4 linked regions of the Tribolium castaneum genome follow. The protein of the gene in region 1 binds, or shares a complex with, the protein of each later gene. Links are inferred from orthologs where the notes say so. Each region holds a gene or a part of one and is shown in the gene's direction. Other genes may lie near its edges.

Region 1 (3,301 bases):
GCAATTGTTAAGTCCATTGTTGACTTGAACGAAATTTTCAAAGATCTCAGTCAGATGGTCGCCGACCAGGGGACAGTTCTGGACAGAATTGACTACAACGTGGAACAGACGCAGATCCAGGTCTACGAAGGCTTCAAACAGCTGCAAAAGGCAGACGCTTATCAGCGGAAAAACCGCAAGATGTGCGCGATCCTTGTATTGGCTGTAACCACAATTATTTTATTTTTTACCTTGATTATCGTGAAATCCTAGTCGTGATAACGTATTTTTATTCGCTAAGCCAAATATTTATTTATGTAAATAAATTATTGAAACTTGATCGTTTTATTCAATCATAACACACGAGAAATAGTAAAAATTATATAACACAAATATGTACGCAGTCTATTATTACACAATGACATCTTAAATAACTGAAATTTTTCTAATGCGAGATCAAATTTAGACTTCCTTGTACGACTCTAACACCAGCTTTTTGTACTCTTCTTTTTTCTTCCACTTGTCGGCGGCCGTCGTGTTCAGCGGACTCCTCGTGTTTGGTTCCCCTAACAAGGCCTGAATTGATAACAAAATTGTTCTAACGTCATAAAGCGCCGACCACTTCTCTTTTAAAATATCTAAGCAGATGTTCCCACTGGTGTCGACGTTGGGGTGAAAGCAAGGCGTGATGAATTTTACTACGGGGGCCGCGTAGGGGTACGAGTTCGGGAATTGTAAACTTAGTTTATATTTTAAACTCTCATAAACCGTGTCTTTGGGCCCCATTATGGTACCTACCCACTTGAACAGGTTGTCGCCCTCGGGAAACGCCGAGATGCTCTTGTCTTCGGACATCATCAAAGTCATAAGCTCTTTGTGCAATCTGCAAATCGAACAAAGATTAGCACCCCAATTTAGACTCACTTTTTGCCCACCTTTTTGTCACTGCGTGATTATCGTTCGATACCTTCTTGGAACTTTCGGCCTGCTTTACGTTCTCGGGCACTTGCTCCACGAACGGATTGAAATTTTGGGCCATTTTTACCACGTTCACTAATAAATTATCCTAATTCTACTTTAATTGATTTGTAGAAAATTCGTTACGATGCAGATGGATGCCAAACGTCAACGCACTTTCAAATTTAGCCAATCAGGAACCGTCACCCATAACTACCAACAGAACCGCGAAAGCAATTAACATTCAAGCACTTGCTATTACCATTATGACGCACTAGGAAAACGTGTAATTACAAATTCAAATTAGATTAAATTGCTTTGGCTCAAGTCTAACACCACAAAGGCGTTATTGAGTTTTGAAATTTTTGATATTTTGTTTGGCGTCAGCACTGACACTTGACACTTGTCAAAGATGGATGATCCGCGTGACGTTAAAACAGGACTTGATGAAAGTTGCACTTTTATATTTAAAAAACGGAATATAAAAAATAAAGGGGCGCGGAAGCGCCAGAAATCCAGTTCGGAAGGAGGTGGGTACCCCAAATCCGTGAATTAACCTTCACTGTTGTTGTAGACTTAGTTTTCGTGTTTTAAAGGTTATGTTTGTTTGCGATTTCTTCAGAAAAGTCCAACAGTGAGGACGAATCTGCGGTGAAGCGGGCGAACCGGCGTCGGGGAAAAGCAAACCCCAACTTCCAAACCACAAGCAAAGCCAAACAAAAAGAACATGAGCAGCAGAACTACTCAAGCAGTGAGGAGGAAATTATGGTTAGTTACAAGTCCAAACGGTCCGCTATGCCTGAGGGACCTCAAGATCAGGGAGCGACGGCGACTCTTGTAAGCCACTTAACCACTCACTAGTATTATCCAATCAATAATTATTTAATTAAAGGAGTTTGAAACTGAGCGCGATCGTGACGCCCAAGCCATTTTCGAGAAGCGGCTAGAAATTAATAAAAATCTTGAGGGCAAGGAAGACGATAAAGTCTACAGAGGCATCAACAACTACGCACAGTACTACAAGCCCAAAGACACGGCTGCGGGCAACGCCAGTTCGGGAATGGTCAGGAAGGGCCCCATCAGAGCCCCCGCAAACCTGCGTGCCACCGTCCGGTGGGACTACCAACCCGACATTTGCAAGGACTACAAAGAAACAGGCTTTTGCGGTTTCGGGGACAGTTGTAAATTTTTGCACGACAGGAGTGACTACAAACACGGCTGGCAGCTTGAGCGGGAATGGGCGGAAGGCAAATATGGGCAAGAAAGCGACGAGGATAAACAATACGAGATTGACTCGGACGAAGAGGATTTGCCGTTCAAATGCGTCGTTTGCAGGGACAGCTTCGTGGACCCGATTGTCACAAAGTAGGAGGCACCTTTTACGAGTCTTTATTACAGTTAATTTTAGGTGCAAACACTACTTTTGCGAGAAGTGCGCCCTCGAGAGGTACAAGAAGACGACGAGGTGCTTCGTCTGCAACACGCAAACGAGTGGCGTTTTCAACCCCGCGCGGAAACTCATAGCGCGGCTGAATCGAGAGGATAATCCTAAGAAAAAGAATGACTCAGATTCGGATTCCGATTAATGTTTTTGTAAATTGTGTAATAAATAAACAAATAAAAAATTGAACTGGTTTTATTCCAATCCCACACGTGAAGAGGCGAGTGAGACAGAGAAGACGCTACTTCTTAGTGAGGTGCGGCTTCTGAGTGAAAGGTATAGTAACAGTCAAGCGGGTAACCCCCAACTGGACACATTCATTGTATCTTTCTCTGTCTCAAAAGTACCAAAAACGCGCGCGCGAAAGAGAAAGCTGCTACCTTGCCATTATAACTGTAATATATATTGTACAAGAAATATAAAGTTCATCTCTCATTTGTGCAAAAGTTGCGAGAATACCAAGATGGTATCACTAAAAAATGTTTGTGCTGTTTTTGTGATTTTCGTAGTGACTTTCATGGATGAAGTTAAGGCCCTTACTGGTAAGGAATCCAATTGGTTCCTAATCACCGTTAATTGTTTTTCTAATCACCGAGTTATCACAGTATTGTGTGGTAATGCATTATGTTAATAAGATTTTTATGTGACACAACAGTTAAATAAAAACCGTACGGTGAAACGATGATATTTCGCTAAAACCTTCAAAACTGTATAATGAGGACCTCAATATCTACACTCACCGGCTCGTTTTGCATTAATTTATTAATTGCGGCGTCCTGTTTATTTTTCTTACCAGCACTTTCAATTTATCGCAAAAATGCCAGTTGATCTTTTTATTTTAATAACTGGTTCAATGATGCGTGATGTAAATTATCAAATTAAGATTAGAACTTTCATCGATCCCTCAGTAAAATTTTTACGCTT
Region 2 (3,763 bases), about 8.0 Mb from region 1:
AATAAATATTACGTTGTCGTAAATAAAACAAAAAGCCGTAAATACAAACAATTAAACACCGTAAAATATGTACAATAAAAAAATAAATTTCATTTCAAACATGCTACAAAACGATTTTAATTCTCTCCAAGAAATACTTTATATTGAACAAAATAGTGTTTGATGAGAATGAGTTTAATTATATGCATGTTAATTGGGCGATAAGACTGATAACTCGTCCGAAGACAATGCTATGAGAAAAGAGTTTAATTTTAAAACGCACAATAAAATAATTCTCTTGAAATAATGCCAACCTGTCAAGCCAAAGTCCGGAGAATAATTCCGCCGAAAAAATTCGCGCATTACCTTGTAAAACCGTAAAAATTTTCATTTGTATCGCACTTGTGCCACATACTTCCATTGCAAACACACTCACAAAAACGCTCTTTACAGTCCAAGTTCATTGCATGTTCTGACCCAATTATAACAATAACAAATTTTCGAAATTGTTTATATTATGTTAATTAAATTGATAACAATTTGAGCCGATTCTCTAAACATTTGGGCAAATAAATCAGCTATATTTACCTTCAACTAAAGTTCCAGACTCCAACATATCTCTCCGCGACCAAACAACAATAACATAATATTCACACGTTTAGGAAGTCCTCGCAGACAGGTGTATACTCATATTTATAATACCAACACTTATCTGTGAGAATTTTCTGTAAACTTTTATCATTGGATTTCTTTATCTTGCGTGAAACGCGCGCTGTGGCTCAATGGTGATTCTCCCCGCTTTTAGTCGAGAACTAATTCTAATTTTAGTTGGACACAAGTACTTGAATTTCGAGTTCACTTTTAAGCTAACACAGTTTGACAATATATTTAATTCAACAAGCGTTTAGTTCTAATCTGGAGAACGTTTGATTTAGATAAGTCTGCGATAGACAGACAATATTGATATCATAAGTATAACACAAAATAAACAACAATTAGTTACTGCCTAATCTGTTTTAGTTTTCACTTTCCGATTATTTTTCACTGTCACCATGTGGAAAACTAACGATAAAGGGGAAAGTTCAAGTCCAATTCCAGAAAATTTAAATTTGACCTCATTGTTTTTTTAATTCTTTATTGTCGCGCAATTCTTACTATTATACGTATTTATTCAAATCTTAAAATAAAAAGATAATAATAGCATCTGGCGCTCCTTCGTTTATTTCCTTATTTATCCTATTGAAAAAAAAATTGTTATGAAACAATTAAAACAGTGAAGTATTTGAAAAAAACTGAACTCAATTCATACACAAAACCATGACTTTGAATTTGTATTTTTTTTAAGAACAAAATTTGAAAAACCAAATTTTAAATTGTGACTAAGGTGGCGAAGCTTGGCACTTTAAACACAACCAAACTTCGTAGCTTAACCTCATTCTTTGACACTTGTCAAAATATAATAAACATTCTAAAGTTTTAAAAATGAGTAGTGTTTATATTTTGGAGCCCCCAACTTCGGGAAAGGTATTTAATCGTTCGTCTTACGAACACTACAATCAAATTTTTCGTCTCAGGTGTTGTTGAAAACAACAGTTGGTGACATAGACGTCGAATTGTGGGCAAAAGAAACGCCAAAAACCTGCCGCAACTTCATACAATTGTGCCTTGAGGGCTATTACGACAACACTATCTTCCACAGGGTTGTTAAGGGCTTTATAGCCCAAGGGGGTGACCCAAATGGTGACGGTACAGGCGGAGAGTCAATCTATGGAGAGCCCTTCAAAGATGAGTTTCACCAAAGACTCCGCTTTACGCGAAGAGGGTTGCTTGCGATGGCCAACGGGGGCAAGGACGACAACGGGTCTCAGTTTTTCTTCACCCTGGGGGCGACTCCCGAATTGCAAGACAAACACACGATTTTTGGGAAAATTACCGGAGACACGATTTTTAATATGCTCAAGCTTGAGGATGGGTTAATAAGGGACGAAAGGCCGATCTACCCTCACAAAATCATTAAAACGGAAGTTTTGAACAATCCATTTGCCGACATCCAACCCAGGCTTAGACAGGTTGAGGTGAAGGAGAAGAAAAAGAAAGAGAAAAAGCCAGGAGTCAAGTCAGTCAAATATTTTGTGTAATTTGTTGTAAAATCATTGTTGTAGGAATTTTAAGTTATTGTCGTTTGGGGAAGAGGCTGAGGAAGATGAGGAAGAGTCAACGAGGGTCAATGAAAAGTTTGTGGGCAAAGGCAAATCCACACACGATGTGTTAGGTACACAGTTCAAATAATTGGTGTGGAAATGTTTTAATTAAATTTAATTGAAGATGATCCCAAATTGAGCTCTAAAACGGAGGACGTAGATGAGGAGAATGATGACGTGGAAGAAGTTAATCCAGAAGAACAGTTAGAGAGCATCAGAAAGAAACTAAAAAGAGAACACAAAAAACCTGTACCAACTTCCACAACAACGGCGGAACCGATAGATACATATGAGTCATTCCTAGAGGAAGAGAGGCGCGAGAAAAAGAAAAAACAATTGTGAGTGACTATTAATTATTTTTCTATTTTCGATTAATTTATTTACAGTGAGGAGATCCAAAAAGAAATCCAGAACGTTAAAAAGGAATACCATAAAAATAAGTTGAAAAAGAAGGAAGAGGACATAATTGCAACCGAGAAGAAGGTCCAAGAAGACAAGACAATACAAGAGTACAAAGACGAGTTCGATAAATACAAAAATAAAAAAGACGCATTACCTAAAAAGGGAGCTGGGAGAGAACAGTTCACTTTGAATTTGTTGGAAAAGTTCAAAAAGAAGATACAGTCAATGAAAGACGGGGAAGAGAATGAAGAAGACAATGAGGAAGAACAAGCGTGGTTGAAGCACAGACTGTGCTTCCAGGACAAAAACCCAGTCTTGGCAAAAGACGCCAATAGAAAAGATGACGATTGGTTTGAAATTTACGATCCTAGAAACGCTTTGAATAAACGACGACGTGGAGAAACCGTGGAGAAGTTCAAGAAATAGTGTTGTTTGCTATATTAAAAATAAAGATTTGTAATTTTATGCGACCTTTTTTTTCCCGCCTTATCCTGGTGTAGCAAAGGCTCCAAAGAGCAAAAACTTCAAATAAACGTAAAGTTCGAGTTTTTTACCTACATTTTACCATTCTAGCACTCGCTTTAATAACAATCACATTAGTATTATTAATGACTCTACTATAGTTTGTGTTAAATTAATAAATTATTATTAATTAATTAAATTATTATTTTAGTTGTTACATATTATAAGACTCTATGCGCGTAGGATTATATGAGCAGATGCGCGCGTTTTCGGAATTGAGGTTACGTTTTTAATTTTGTGGGACCGGTGTTTGATGTTAAACTAGTATGAAAAATTAATGAAACTTTTGTGTACGTGAATAGACAATAGTGAGAAGCATGAGTGTGTGCACGTAAGTAAAAAACCATCAGTATTAAGAAAAACAGCTGATTATTTTTAGACCAAATCGTAACGTTTTAAACAACTCTTTTGCACTAGAACGGAGCCTTTCCGTGAATAAAACACGGCGAACTGTGCGTAAAAGCTTCATCTGGGGCTCCGTGAACCTCCTTATACTTGCAGTCCTTCTTTATGATATGTAACAAACTGCTCACTTAACCTTCTTTTTCCCATAACTGTGTTTTTAGAGCAAATTCATGTCCTTTGTACACTGATATTTACGACTATATCAAATATGCGTTCGTTCTGATAGTAAGCATAAATCTCTTGTACTATGCTGC
Region 3 (4,516 bases), on another chromosome or scaffold:
ATCGACGTAACTGTATTTCACATTGATTGATATGTTAAATCAGCAACTTTTTGAGTTCAAGGATGCAATTTATTTGGCAAAAATTTCTCCAACTTTCATCAAAATCTTTCACAGGAAATTAGCATAATTTACATTCATCGCGTGCCTTTAAAAATATTCAAAACATGCCGGTGACTACGCCGGTCTAATATTTGTCTGCTCGCTGCGGGTCTACGAACTATTTGGCACGTTTTTAATCCAACAAGAATTTTAAAAATAAATGCGATTCATTGTTTTACTTGTTGCGATTACGATTAAGAGAAATTGACCCACCTGGGTTGCAGTCGGTGAGTAGGGAGCAGATAGATAAGAGGACCTTGGAGATGGTGAGGGCGGGCGACCAGTTGTCTTTCAAAATATCCAAACAGATGACGCCCTGACTGTTGATATTGCAGTGGTAGATCCTCGTCCTGAACGTGACTTTAGGTGGCTTGAAGGGGTACTCTGGCGAGAAGTGGATGTCCAGGAAGAAGACGCCGCCCTCGTAGACGGACCCCGGGGGGCCCAGGATCGTGGACACCCACTCGTAGAAGTTCTCCCCTTTGGGGCCCGCACTGCAGTTCGGCGGCGGGTCTAACGTGATTTCTGCTAGTTCTTTTTGGATTCTTTTCGCTGATGTGCCCAAGGCCTTTGACATTTTCTGGTTAGGCTTTGATTCTTTTGTTTCCTTTTGATCACCGACTGCTGCTTGACCGCCTCGACCACGGCCTGATCCGCTAGACCCAGCTGAAGACATCGAGCTAAACAAAACAAAAAATCACCTCTTTGTTCCTCCCGGCGCTCGCCGGGGGCTGACGGGCGACCGTGCGAGAGAGTCACCTCAAGCAACAATGGGGTTCAATGTCTGATTGCGATCGCCGGGACAGGTAACCGATTATTGCGACCCTTCTCAAAACCAAAATTGATTCCTGTCAGCTAAGTCGGCCATTTTGATTTCAAGCATTACACAAGCCGTAAATTTCCATTAAATTGGGAAAAACGGGACGGAATTCAATAATTATCGATTAAAACACAACGCCGAACCCGAAATTACTGTAATTTCGATACGATATCGCTTTTATTGGGCGATATTTACGGCACAAGTTGACGATTTTTTTCAGCGCCTACTCGGCTAATACGCGCATAAACGGCCCTAATCGAGTTTCAGGAACGTGAAACTGGCATTGAACGGGAAATTTCAGCAGCAATTACACTTACTTGTATTAATTTTTGCACTAAAAACTGAAAACAATTCACTCCCTTTTTGCTAATATCGGCTCATGGCGTACTCGCTGAGCACTCAGGCCTGCCACCATACTACCGGAAATATGCAAAAACTGCACAGCCCAAAAACCTGAATTTCGATTATTTGCAACAAAACCGCCCTGTGCCACACCCCCAGGGCGTCGGTCGCCAACACCTCGCCGAAAATTACCAAAAAATTGCGGATTATTTTTTAAAAAATTCAAAATCCTTTGCACCCATCTAGGGGCATGAAGAGTGCGCGTGTTGTCTACCTGTTGTTGTGACAGCGAGCTAACCTCAAAGTCGTGTGATTTATATTTTTTAATTTTACCTCTTTACAAGTTACAGCAAAATGGGGAAGCGCCAGCACCAGAAAGACAAAATGTAGACCTGTCCAAAATCAGTTTCAAGTGCGTAATTAACGCAATTTTGTTTAAGGTACTTGACGTACACAGAGTGGACCACTCTTTACGGGGGCAAAAAATCGGGTTATACGACCGCGGAGGAGGACTATTTTAAGCGGCTCCCGTTTGACCACTGCTGCCTGTCGTTGCAACCGTGGGAAATACCCTACTGTGACTTGGACGGCAATATTTTTGATTTGGAGCCTTTGCTCCCCTTTTTGAAGAAGTTCAAGATAAACCCAGTCACGGGAAAGCCTCTGGATTTCAAGTCGTTGGTGCAGTTGAATTTCCACAAAAATGAAGAAGGCGAGTTTGAGTGCCCCGTCCTTTACAAACAATTCACCAAAAGCTCCCACATTGTGGCGATTGCCACCACTGGAAACGTGTACTTGATGGAAGCAGTGGAACAGCTTAATATTAAGAACAAAAACTGGAAGGACTTAATCAGTGATACGCCCTTCGAACGCAAGGATATCATCATGTTACAGGACCCACTAGACTTAAATAAGTTCAACATTTCCAACTTCCACCACGTCAAAAACAATTTACGAATCGAAACCGAGGAGGAAATCAAGGAGAAGAACGACCCTCAAGGCCACTTGAAAAACGTGAACCCTGAAACAAAATACACCCTTGAGGAGCTAAAACGGGACTACAAAGAGCCAACAATTGAAATAAACAAAGTCGAAGTTAAGGAAAAGGCGGACAAGTTCAACGCTGCCCATTATTCAACGGGGGCTGTGGCTGCGAGTTTCACCTCAACAGCGATGGTCCCCCGATTGGTGCACGAAGCCGCAGTGAAGCACGAAGATGAGGTGCGATACGACAGAGTCAAGAAAAAAGGCTATGTGAGGTTAATCACGAACTTGGGGCCCCTCAACTTGGAGATTTACTGCGACGAAGTGCCACGTGCTTCGGAGAATTTTATCAGGCATTGTGCGAGTGGCTATTACAACGGGACGAAATTTCACAGATCTATTCGGAATTTTATGGTAGGGACCCATCATGGGGGCTAAAACTAACGAAATGTAGGTTCAAGGGGGCGACCCGACGGGGACAGGGACTGGGGGCGAATCCATTTGGGGGAAGAAATTCGTTGATGAATTCAGGCCCAATTTGCAACATGTGGGGCGAGGGGTCTTGTCTATGGCCAACAGTGGGAAAAACACAAATGGGTCACAGTTGTATGTTTTACGCAGCCTTTGACTTTGAAGTTAAGTTGGCAACAATGGCAACAGTCAAATGTTAACTTTAATAGTCAATTGTCGTTTGAAATGTCAAAGTGACAAAAAAACTCATTTATGTCATAACTAGGGAGGACTATAAGTTAGGAGATGAAATCGCAGGATTTTCTGAACCTAAAAAATAGTACGGTGGACTAAAAATGAGGGCGCTTTGAGCGTTATACTGTCTCGGCGCCAAATCGTTTTAAATTAATTTAAATTCAACCAATGTTGAGCTTTGCACCCTTAAGTCTGAGAAAAACTGACGACTAAAATGTTTGTGATTTTTTTTTAAATCTGCGCTTTGTCTCGTATTTTTCAAGACGCTGCAAATACGGTTGAAGATACAAAAAAAGTGTAAGGAACAAAATTGTAGAGAATTAAATTTTTTACAAAAAAGTCCACGACACCATATTTCTATTTTAAACGGTTTGGTTATAAACTAACTTTTCAATACTTGACCACTGGCAAAATGAAGCAAATTCGTCGCTTGAGCGTCTTTGGGCGATTTTGGGGCCTAAATGGTTGAAGATAGGGATATAGTCCCGCGGACTTTTTTGTAGGAAATTTAATTGTCTACAATTATCTTTCTAACATTTTTCTTGCATCTGTAACCGTATTTGCAGAGTTGTCAAAAATATGAGTCAGAGTGCAAGTTGGTAAAAGTTTTTATTTTAATATAGTTTAAGATAAAATTTTTGCATTACGTTTATGTCCTACTATTGCGAATTTAATGCTCTATCTGCCTGTATTTTTTTGTTTGTCATGTGTTAACCGTTATGCAAACACAACCATTTTTTCAAATTCATTGCACTGAAAATTTAGACGGTAATGGAACATCTGCGCTCTCTGGCGACATTAACGGAACTATCGAATACAGGAACGTTTTATTTGTATGTCGTTTCATATCCTAACTTGTTTATATCCGTAGCCATAACTTTATTTTTTACAAAAAAAATGAGTAAATTTTCCCCATACTTTTTCCAAACTTTTAATGATTTAATGAATACACAAACTGAAGTATTTTTCATGATATAACGGGAAATGCCAACGTCCAGTTTTGCCAACTTAATTTCAAACTCAGCCACTGAGCAATAATCAAAAATTTAATTGTTTTTTTTTTTAGTTTCATAACATACAGGTCGTGCAAGCACTTGAATAATAAGCACACGATTTTTGGTCGTTTAGTTGGTGGCATGGAGACTTTAAACGAAATGGAAAAAATTGAAGTGGACAATAAGGATAAGCCCATTGAGGATATTGTGCTTATAAGGGCGCAAGTTTTTGTGAATCCATTTGAAGAGGCGGACGAACAAGTGATTGTCTTATTCTGTTGTAATGTGTTATTTTTGGTCAATTTTTAGTTGGCGAAAGAACGCGAAGAGGAATTGAAAAGACAGAAGGAGGAAGAAGAGGCGAAGAGACGTAAAGCGGAAGCTCAAAAAACCCTAAAAGTGTATAAAAGTGGTGTTGGGAAATATATCAATCCTGATAACGTGAAAAGGTGCCTTAATTACGTATTGGTAACACTTATTATCTGTTTTATTGTAGTTCAACCCTTGATGAGAGTGACTTGACAGAACCGCAACAGAAGAAGAAGAAAAAAATGAAATTTACGTTTAATGA
Region 4 (2,370 bases), on another chromosome or scaffold:
ACGCCCGGAAAATCATTTCCAAATCAAACTCCTCTACATAGAACTACTCTACATTTCCCCAAAAATTACCTGAGCAAAAGTCCACTCTTATAAACACTTGCGTCAAAAATAGAAAATTGCCCAACACAAACAATATCATTGAATACAGCGCGTGTATCTCGACACAAGAGGCATTCAGCAAGCAGCCGTAAGCATCGGCTATTATCCTATTTAGTCCGAAGTGGCCCCTAACGAGATTTAAATATGTTCATCGTCGATGTCAAACATATGAACTTTATTCCATTCATCTGGTCAATTGATTAATTGAATTAAGGTAGGCACACGAAGACCGAACTCATGAAAAACGAAGCCTCAAATGCGGGACCTTAGACGGGCGGCGACAGGAAACGCCGCAAATGAGGAAGTCGAATTAAGAATTATTAAATCTGACAACGTGTGACAAGAAAACAGACTTTTTTTGGTGATTTTCATCCATGCGGTATAAAGCAGCCAGACCGAGGAGATTTCAAAAACATCACCTTCGGCGCAACTACTTAATACCGGGTGGACAAGAGGCTTTCTTCTGGTGCGTTTCTTCAAGTATTTAATTTATATAGCGGGACGGGGTGGTTTATCGGCTCCTCACTGCATTTTAATGATTATTCTATTATTATTTGCGTTGGCATTGCTTGTATACTTAAATAAACACGCTGCTGGAATAATTACTTGCACTGGTTATCTCTTATTGTTATACTTACTATAAATAAAGAGTGATTATTGTTTATCGTAATTATTTAATTTTCGATTCTGGGGCTAACAAATTGCTGGGAATTAAACTCCCTTCGTTGGAAAAATGCACTGCAATACTCGTATTTGCAATATTTATTACATTTTCTAGTTAAATTATAATAAACGGTGCATTCCCCTATCTGATTCATTAATAGCTTGTTGCTCTTATATTTAACGTCTTCATCTCAATGGATTATAAATTGGTTTATTTGCTCGATTTTGTAATTAGTTTTTAGATCGTGGTTTTTGAGTATGTTAAAACTCTTAATTAATTATTCAAAAGAGTAATCTTAATGTAACTTTAAATGTGAGAAGAATAATTGTTGATTTAATTCGAAGTTTGTTTTCTTCACTTTAAATGTTTGAATCTGCCGCCATAGTATTAAACCCAGTTTGCGCATGCGCATTGCAAAATTCCCCAAACGCATCCAAAACGCTCAAATTCCTAACCTAACTATTTTTGTGCCGGAAAAAGTGTTGTTTTAAGTGCAAAAACCGAGTCAGAATGGCTTTAACGAAACCCAAGTCTGAAATGACGGCCGAGGAGCTTCAGGCTCGCGAGGAGGAAGAGTTCAACACGGGCCCCCTTTCGGTGCTCACTCAGTCGGTGAAGAACAACACTCAGGTGCTGATAAACTGCCGAAACAACAAGAAATTGCTGGGGCGGGTGAAGGCGTTCGATCGGCACTGCAACATAGTGTTGGAGAATGTGAAGGAAATGTGGACAGAGCTGCCCCGGCCTGGAAAGGGGAAGAAGAAAGCCAAGCCGGTAAATAAGGATCGGTTCATTTCGAAAATGTTTCTGCGAGGCGATGCGGTTATTATAGTTGTAAGGAACCCCCTAGCTACGGCTAGTGGTTAATTAGGAATAAAATTTGTATCTTCAGTTTAGTGTTTATTGAGGAAATTCACTTACCTATCACTTCACTCGTGTGGTCCTTCTGTTCTGCGGTTGATTGATACCGCGAACGTGATACTGTGGAAATATCACATTCATGTCGTTGCAAATGAAAGATTGAACGGTTTTTTAACATTTATCTATAAAAATAATACAACAAAATGTGATAAAATTTCTCCTTTTTATTTAAACAAGATAATACAAAAGAATAATAAATATTTGTAACTTATGCAAGCTGCATGACCTAACCCCTTTCACATATGATGTCCACAACGCTTGGTTCCATTAAAATCGGTTCCAGGCACCTGTGGACTGCTGATCCCAAAATCTCATCCAGGAGGAAATGAACCAAGCTGGAAAATTCAATTAATTTCACTAAATTCAAATTCGTGACGTACTTTTCATCCGCAACAAATCGCCACAAATACAACTGCAAGTAATGCGTGTCCACTTGAATTTGTTGGAGGCCAAATTTACTAAAAGTCTTCAGACGTACGCACTCCATGAACGTCTAGAAATTATTTTTTGATTAAATGCTTCAACCCTCCACAAAATGATGCCTTAATAAACTAGCCTCTGCTGTAAATTATCGGAATGCCAACTAGATGTAGTTCAGTTTACAGAAAGCGCAAGTAAAATTTAATTCAGAATTAAACATTTATTTTGCATTGTCAAATGTTAAGTTAATTAAAGGAAAATGTTAT

Evidence for each region. The genes of interacting proteins can lie anywhere in the genome.
Region 2: mdlc (region 1) and spliceosome-associated protein CWC27 homolog share a complex: the UniProt entries of both Homo sapiens proteins name them as parts of the minor spliceosome. The link is inferred for Tribolium castaneum from reciprocal best matches to the Homo sapiens genes RNF113A and CWC27.
Region 3: mdlc (region 1) and RING-type E3 ubiquitin-protein ligase PPIL2 share a complex: the UniProt entries of both Homo sapiens proteins name them as parts of the minor spliceosome. The link is inferred for Tribolium castaneum from reciprocal best matches to the Homo sapiens genes RNF113A and PPIL2.
Region 4: mdlc (region 1) and SmD2 share a complex: the UniProt entries of both Homo sapiens proteins name them as parts of the minor spliceosome. The link is inferred for Tribolium castaneum from reciprocal best matches to the Homo sapiens genes RNF113A and SNRPD2.

The regions. Positions count from the first base shown.
Region 1 is NC_087396.1:11,857,766-11,861,066, forward strand, and holds mdlc (E3 ubiquitin-protein ligase RNF113A), read left to right. Parts: upstream 1-1,326; 5' UTR 1,327-1,348; coding exon 1,349-1,466; intron 1,467-1,558; coding exon 1,559-1,773; intron 1,774-1,828; coding exon 1,829-2,301; intron 2,302-2,344; coding exon 2,345-2,522; 3' UTR 2,523-2,566; downstream 2,567-3,301. Other genes in the region: Syx16 (syntaxin-16), read left to right, coding at 1-252; vih (ubiquitin-conjugating enzyme E2 C), read right to left, coding at 442-862, 915-1,018; probable chitinase 2, read left to right, coding at 2,841-2,919. UniProt on the Homo sapiens protein: Required for pre-mRNA splicing as component of the spliceosome. As a component of the minor spliceosome, involved in the splicing of U12-type introns in pre-mRNAs. E3 ubiquitin-protein ligase that catalyzes the transfer of ubiquitin onto target proteins.
Region 2 is NC_087396.1:19,898,680-19,902,442, reverse strand, and holds spliceosome-associated protein CWC27 homolog, read left to right. Parts: upstream 1-1,357; 5' UTR 1,358-1,461; coding exon 1,462-1,503; intron 1,504-1,553; coding exon 1,554-2,095; intron 2,096-2,141; coding exon 2,142-2,251; intron 2,252-2,304; coding exon 2,305-2,518; intron 2,519-2,566; coding exon 2,567-3,008; 3' UTR 3,009-3,047; downstream 3,048-3,763. Other genes in the region: uncharacterized protein LOC658443, read right to left, coding at 346-400; transmembrane protein 209, read left to right, coding at 3,422-3,435, 3,484-3,621, 3,671-3,763. UniProt on the Homo sapiens protein: As part of the spliceosome, plays a role in pre-mRNA splicing. Probable inactive PPIase with no peptidyl-prolyl cis-trans isomerase activity. As a component of the minor spliceosome, involved in the splicing of U12-type introns in pre-mRNAs.
Region 3 is NC_087395.1:15,994,680-15,999,195, forward strand, and holds the start of RING-type E3 ubiquitin-protein ligase PPIL2, read left to right. Parts: upstream 1-1,500; 5' UTR 1,501-1,615; coding exon 1,616-1,647; intron 1,648-1,701; coding exon 1,702-2,659; intron 2,660-2,699; coding exon 2,700-2,851; intron 2,852-4,016; coding exon 4,017-4,206; intron 4,207-4,254; coding exon 4,255-4,394; intron 4,395-4,441; coding exon 4,442-4,516. Other genes in the region: Ubc2 (ubiquitin-conjugating enzyme E2-24 kDa), read right to left, coding at 313-775. UniProt on the Homo sapiens protein: Has a ubiquitin-protein ligase activity acting as an E3 ubiquitin protein ligase or as an ubiquitin-ubiquitin ligase promoting elongation of ubiquitin chains on substrates.
Region 4 is NC_087395.1:17,190,621-17,192,990, reverse strand, and holds SmD2 (probable small nuclear ribonucleoprotein Sm D2), read left to right. Parts: upstream 1-1,173; 5' UTR 1,174-1,273; coding exon 1,274-1,630; 3' UTR 1,631-1,654; downstream 1,655-2,370. Other genes in the region: serine-rich adhesin for platelets, read left to right, coding at 318-413; Vps51 (vacuolar protein sorting-associated protein 51 homolog), read right to left, coding at 1,911-2,019, 2,065-2,177. UniProt on the Homo sapiens protein: Plays a role in pre-mRNA splicing as a core component of the spliceosomal U1, U2, U4 and U5 small nuclear ribonucleoproteins (snRNPs), the building blocks of the spliceosome.